Sus scrofa: one gene and its partner. The protein of the gene in region 1 purifies or fractionates together with the protein of each later gene. This does not show direct contact. Links are inferred from orthologs where the notes say so. Each region holds a gene or a part of one and is shown on either strand. Other genes may lie near its edges.

What was found.
Region 2: the proteins of PNN (region 1) and NCBP3 purify together in Homo sapiens (co-immunoprecipitation; 3 studies listed by BioGRID and IntAct, counting the BioPlex papers as one, with this or other methods). This does not show direct contact. The link is inferred for Sus scrofa from reciprocal best matches to the Homo sapiens genes PNN and NCBP3.

What each region holds. Positions count from the first base shown.
Region 1 is NC_010443.5:169,728,439-169,731,686, forward strand, and holds part of PNN (pinin), read left to right. Parts: intron 1-65; coding exon 66-160; intron 161-325; coding exon 326-401; intron 402-2,118; coding exon 2,119-2,274; intron 2,275-2,350; coding exon 2,351-2,489; intron 2,490-3,069; coding exon 3,070-3,248. UniProt on the Homo sapiens protein: Transcriptional activator binding to the E-box 1 core sequence of the E-cadherin promoter gene; the core-binding sequence is 5'CAGGTG-3'. Capable of reversing CTBP1-mediated transcription repression.
Region 2 is NC_010454.4:49,911,942-49,915,762, forward strand, and holds part of NCBP3 (nuclear cap-binding protein subunit 3), read right to left. Parts: intron 963-3,821; coding exon 857-962; intron 1-856. UniProt on the Homo sapiens protein: Associates with NCBP1/CBP80 to form an alternative cap-binding complex (CBC) which plays a key role in mRNA export. NCBP3 serves as adapter protein linking the capped RNAs (m7GpppG-capped RNA) to NCBP1/CBP80.

The DNA of each region.
Region 1 (3,248 bases):
TACTACATTTAAAAGAGTGCCACCCATATGCTAGTGAAATGACAGAAATTTCTTTTCTCCTACAGCCAGCTTTGCAGTCTTCAGTTGTAGCTACCTCCAAAGAGCGCACTCGTAGAGACCTTATCCAGGATCAAAATATGGATGAAAAGGGAAAGCAAAGGTATCATTAGTATCCTTCTGGAGGAAAACAACTCTTGTTAAATAATGTAATTTAAAGAAAATTTAAGGAATTGTTCCTATGTCTATTGTATGTTTCTTCTAGCAAATGGCAGTCTTAAATGAAGTGGAACCTTTTGAAATTGGATTTTCTTTTTCTTTTCTTTAGGAACCGACGAATATTTGGCTTGTTGATGGGCACGCTTCAGAAATTTAAACAAGAATCCACTGTTGCTACTGAAAGGGTATATGTGCACTTTTTCCTTTGCTTCCTCTAAGTTTTCAAAGTAGCTGATTGCATATTTTTAAAAAGAGCTGAAAAGTTCTCTTAAGATTTAATTGCGGGAGTTCCACTTCCTGTTGTAGCTTAACGGAAAGGAACCCAACTCATATGAATGAGGATGTGGGTTCAGTCCCTGGCTTTGCTCAGTGGGTTAGGGATCTGGCGTTACCTCAAACTGTGGGTCACAGACTCTGCTCAGATCCCACATTTCTCTGGGGTAGGCCAGCTCCAATTTGACCCTTAGCCTGGGAACTTCCATATATGCTGCACCTGCCCCCCCCCCAAAAAGATTTAATTGAAGGCTTCAAAAAGTGGGTAACTGATAACTTCCTTTTTCGGGAAAAAAGTTTAATTGCAAGCCTACATGAAGCCAAGGAAAACCTGTAGAAACTTTCTACAATTATTAATTGGTCTTTTTTGAAGTGCCGTTAAATAACTTAGTGAACTTCTTATCGTTTAGAGGACTTGGTCTGACTCGGGAGAACTTGGATTCTGTTCTCAGCTCTATATCAATCTCATTCCATTGTCTTGGACAAGTCTTCATTTCTTTAGGCCTTAGAGTGCATTCTTTCAAACCGGAAGTTGAACTTGTTAATCATCAGTAATTAATTCAGTAATTCTAATTTTTAAGACTTAATGCACTTAGAGGGACTTTAGAAGCAAAAACATAGATTATATTCCCTGCCCTTCTTAGTTTAACTGTGTCACCTTTTAGGAAGGTTTTATTTTACTGAAGCAACAGAATTGTAATTGTGTCTTTGGAGTTGAACACCACGTTATTGCTTCTTAGGGGAGCACTATAGTAAAAGGGAGATAACAATTCAGTTATAGGAGATTGATAAAATTTTATTTCAGCTTTTATATATTAACTTTATTAGAGAATATAAAAGGCTTAAAGTATCTTAATGTTTGAAGAATAAGTCTGGGTTTTTAAAATGTAGAGTTGACTAGTTTTTTACTTCATTTACTAAGACATCACTTCACAAATTCTTTGATTTGGAAAGAATAACTCAAGATAACCTATAAACAGTACTTGTTTTTTAGGATAACTTTTAGTTAAGGTTTTTCGTAAATTATATTGGAAAGGAACAGCTATTGATATTATCCCTAATGGCTTTAAAAACATTTTTACGTGAAAAGGCTTTAGTCCCCATTTCCTGAAAGAAAAATTGCAGATTACCTCAAATGCCACATTTGAATTAGCTGGTGTTCTAAATTGCAGGTGCAAAATGTATGCATACAACAGTAAAATTTTAATGTTTCATGGGAGTTCCTGTTGTGGCTCAGCAGGTTAAGAACTCGACTAGTATCCATGAGGATGTGGGTTTGGTCTCTGCCCTCACTCAGTGGGTTAAGTATCCGGCGTTGCTGCCATGAGCTGCCATGTAGGTCACAGATCTGGTGTTGTTATGGCTGTGGTGTAGGCCAGAAGCTGCAGCTCTCATTCTACCCCTGGGAACTTCCATATGCCACAAGTGCAGCCCTAAAAAGACAAAAAAAAAAAAAAAAAGTGATAACTAAGAATTCAACTTACAGGCAGGCATTAAAGATACTTCAGCTGTTAAAATACATATTTCCATGCGGTGGATACGGCCCTAAAAAGACTTAAAAAAAGAAATTTAATGTTTCACACAATCAGGATGTGTAATAAGCTTTTAAAGGTTATTGTTTATCTTTAGCAAAAGAGACGTCAGGAAATTGAACAAAAACTTGAAGTGCAGGCAGAAGAAGAAAGAAAACAGGTTGAAAATGAGAGGAGAGAACTGTTTGAAGAGAGACGTGCTAAACAGACAGAACTGCGGCTTTTGGAACAGAAGGTTGAGCTTGCGCAGCTGGTGAGTATATTTTGGAATTCTGAGATTGGTGATCCCTTATTATGACAAAGGCAGTGATCTTTTACCTTTTCTTTAGCAAGAAGAATGGAATGAGCATAATGCCAAGATAATTAAATATATAAGAACTAAGACAAAGCCCCATTTGTTCTATATTCCTGGAAGAATGTGTCCAGCTACCCAAAAACTGATAGAAGAGTCACAGAGAAAAATGAATGGTAAGTGTGCAGTGGAGAGGTGCGTGGAAATTTCTTTAATGGGTAAGGTAACACACTCATAAATACATATGTTTGTTTTCTGTAACAATTGTGATTCAGTAGTTAATTTTTTAGAACGATATTCTAAGATGTTAATGTGTTTGATACGCAGGAGCATTTGTTTTCATGATAGATTTTAACCCAAAATTTATATACTGTAGGTGGTGCTTAATGCACATTTAGTTCTTAAGCATTTGAATGAGATGACTTCTTTTTTTGCTTGATGCTCCTAATGACCAGATATAAATGCTAATGAATCAAGGAAAAAAAGTCAGCATTGATGTAGTCCATAGAGGGAGCACACATAGAAGAGTATACACTGCTAAGACGGTGATTAGATTGATTTGTCTCTCCTTGGAATCAAAAATTAATGCATAATATGATACCATAAACTGACTTGGCATAATTTTTTGTCATCATCTCTTTGCAAAAAAGACATTTCAATTAAGCTCAGTGATAATTTGTGACCAGGTGTCAGTTTATGACTTTGAATTTTCAAACCATTGTTAGTAAACTTTACACATACATTTTTATTCTTTAGCTTTATTTGAAGGTAGACGCATCGAATTTGCAGAACAAATAAATAAAATGGAGGCTAGGCCTAGAAGACAATCAATGAAGGAAAAAGAGCATCAGGTGGTGCGTAATGAAGAACAGAAGTCGGAACAAGAAGAGGGTAAGGTGGCTCAGCGAGAGGAAGAGTTGGAGGAGACAGGTAAT
Region 2 (3,821 bases), on another chromosome or scaffold:
ACAGCTCGGCCTATTAAGCCCTTTACAACTCTCAAATCTGCAAACACAACAGAGGGAGACCGTTTGCATTCGTGGAGTAATAAACATGGCTGTAACTCAGTAAAAGGGTAATATTAACTTTCCCTGCTATTTATAAATTGCCTTCAAAGACTGGGGTAGATTATCATATATAATTCAGAATGAGTTCTAGGAAGCAAAATACCCTAAGAAAACACAAAAATAAAATCACAAGTCTGTATCAAAAGAAGTACTAATGGTATTTCCCCACCAACCTGACCCCCCTCAAAGACAGTCTCATTGTGATACACTTCCACTGTATCTGAAGACAAAGAGCAGCTCCTGCTGTGGCGCAGCAGGTTAAGGATCCGAGTTGTCTCTGAGGTGGTGAGAATTCAATCCCAAGACCGGTGCAGTGGCTTAAGGATCCAGCGTTGCCATAGCTGTGGCATAGGCTGCAGCTATGGCTTGGATTAGATCCCTGGTCCAGGAACTTTCATATGCTGCAGGTGCAGCCCCCCAAGAAAGGCAAAGAGAAGTTACCAATTCTATGAAAAAAGCAGAAAATGAGTAAGGGTCCATAAAAGCAAGGTTCTACTCTCAGCTCTGCCACCAATTCAGTGCTGTCCTCTGGGCTTCTCAGACATGACGTCTTTTTTCCAGCTCTAACATTTGCGACCCAGCTAATGCAGCTTGACTTTAACAGATCAGCTAAGAAATGGAGAATTCCTAAGTTCCCTCCTTTGGGAGTGTCTGGATGAGGACTGGACATGCGAGGCAAGGCCAGAGCGTGAGGCCATGGCAGGGAAAAGTCATTCACTGGGATTACGTAGAAAAAATCCCCCCAAATACCCTGTACCTTTCTTCATCATGTCTCGGTCCAAGGCAACGTTCCTTTGGGAGAGATTTACTTCTGATCGAAAATGGAAGCGCTTGGCTCGCTGTTCTTTCTTTTCAATTGCTTCCTAGAAAGTACAGAGCCAGAGAAGGGAAACGTGGAGGAGGAAAGTTAAATCACATACACAAAATGAGGCACCAGTGATAAGCCTAAAAGACTCCAAAGGAACAAGCAACATTGTCTTTAATTGCGTAGAGAATTGGATATTCACACGCAGCTCGGATCCAAGTTGCTGTGGCTACGGCTCTGATTAGGCCCCTAGCCTGGGAGCGGCCCTAGAAAAGGCAAAAAGACAAAAAAAAAAACCAAAAAAACCCAAGAATTTGATCTTCACAATCAGTGACTGGGAGGATGGACCCTGATGATGCTATCGTTGGGAGCGAGCGCCATAATGACTCTATGGCCATCACTGCACGGAGCGGAGCAGTCGCAACTCAACAGTGTGTGCTGACCCAACGAGCAATGAAGGAAGCTTTCGTGCTCTGACATTTCACTTACTACCAGCCACCATGGAAACGAATTACAACAAAATTAACATTCCATTTTCCAGGCGCAGAAACTGAGGCGTAAAAAAGTCAAAAGGTTTGCTAGAGACACTTCAGCTAGGAAGGGGGAAAATTTTCTGCTCAGTGCTATTTCTAGAAGCCCTCCCACCACCCCCATTTCAGGCTGTCTGCGTGCATGGTAATCACACCTATCCCATTATGTCTGCCTGAGCAGACCACTCCCTAAAGCTCCCTCCTTGTGGAAAAATAACACTGGAGCAATGAAACTCTCTTCTCTATTCTTAACTTGTGTCCAGGGAATTGCCAGTTTTCATCTTGAAGTGACAAGAAGCACTGCTGCTTCACTGAAAAATAAAATAAACAGTTTCCTAAGGTTTTTTTCCCCCAAGAGCTAAAATAACTCCAGATCCAACTGTGAGTTCCTGATAGCTCTTAGGAAGCGTCATTAACTGTATACTGACTTTGCCACACTAATTGAAGGTCTGACTATAAAAAACTTGTGAGGGGAGTTTCCACTGTGGCACAGTGGAAATGAACCTGACTGGGAACAATGAGGTTGCGGGTTTGATCCTTGGCTTCGGATCAGTGGGTTAAGGATCTGGCATTGTTGTAAGCTGTGGTGTAGGTCGCAGATTAGGCTTGCATCTGGCGTTGCTGTGGCTGTGGTGTAGGCCGGCAGTTGTAGCTCCAATTAGACCCCTAGCCTGGGAACCTCCATGTGCCACGGGCGACCCTAAAAAGCAAAACAAAAAACAAACAAAAAAATCAAAAAACAAAACCCATGAGGATAGGTAAAGCAGCAACACTTCTGTTATTTCCCAACAATTACACTAATTTTCTTTTTCTTTTCTTTTTTTTTTTTTTTTGTCTTTTTGCCTTTTCTAGGGCTGCTCCCGAGGCACATGGAGGTTCCCAGACTAGGGGTCGAATCGGAGCTGCAGCTGCCAGCCTACGCCAGAGCCACAGTAACGCCAGATCCCTAACCCACTGAGCAAGGCCAGGGACTGAACCCACAACCTCATGATTCCTAGTTGGATTCGTTAACCACTGAGCCACAATGGGAACTCCAGACACTAATTTTCTTCACTCAAGTCTTCCCAGTGGAAACAACTAAACTACCTTCCTCTAGTAACGACTAAAATAGCAATTCTGGGCTACTACCCCTTTCCCCATACATTTGTTTCATATAATGGTAAACTGTGTAGGATTAAGAACATACTGTATACATCCTTTTCAATTACAATAAGAAAACATTTCTCTTTATTTTGTCTTCTTGTCAAAAAAGATGATCAGTTCCTTTGGCTTTTAAGTAATCTGAGGCAGACTGAGACCCAGATAAAATATAAAATAGTAAGCATGACATACTTATTTTTATTCTTGCTTTCATACATCCAAAACAGTAATGCAATATTATTTATTCAGAACTGTAATTCAAACTCTGTTCCAAACTTAATTACGCACATTAAAATCAGAAAGAATGTTTAAACTAAATTAAAGCAACAAATAAGTATCAACTGTTTTTTTTTTTTTTTGTTTTTTTGTTTCTTGCCTTTTCTAGGGCCGCTTCCCTCAGCATATGGAGGTTTCCAGTCTAGGGGTCGAATCAGAGCTATAGTACACCACAGCCACAGCAACTCGGGATCCAGGCAGAGTGTGCAACCTACACTACAGTTCACAGCAACGCCAGATCCTTAACCCACTGAGCAAGGCCAGGGATCGAACCTGCAACCTCATGATTCCTAGTCGGATACATTAACCACTGAGCCACTACAGGAACTTCAGTATCAACTGTTTATAAGAAGGAAAATAATACATTTGGCTCTGTGAGGAGTTACAATGAAGCTGGTAACGTAGTGCTAGCAATCACTAGATAAAAGCAATATTCCCAGGTACTGAGAAAAATTCAATCAACTTGGCCTTCAAAGTTTAACCACATAACCAGGAAGTCCTATTTTCCTAATCCTAGGCCTCAACCAGTGAGGATAAAGATATTTACTGAGGGCCTACTATGTGCATTCTGCTTCTTTTTTTTTTTTTTTTCTTGTTTTGTTTTTTGGGGTTTTTTTTTTTGTCTTTTTTGCTATTTCTTCGGCGCTCCCGCGGCATATGGAGGTTCCCAGGCTGGGGTCGAATCGGAGCCGTAGCCACCAGCCTACGCCAGAACCACAGCAACATGGGATCCGAGCTGAGTCTGCAACCTACACCACAGCTCACGGCAACACCGGATCATTAACCCACTGAGCAAGGGCAGGGATCGAACCCGAAACCTCATGGTTCCTAGTGGATTCATTTCCACTGCGCCACGACGGGAACTCCCCGTTCTGCTTCATTTAAAGTGGAAACAGTTTACACGTTTTTACTTTTATTTATTTGTCGTCGTCTTCTTTTTTTTTTTTTTTTTTTGTCTTTTCCAGAGCCAC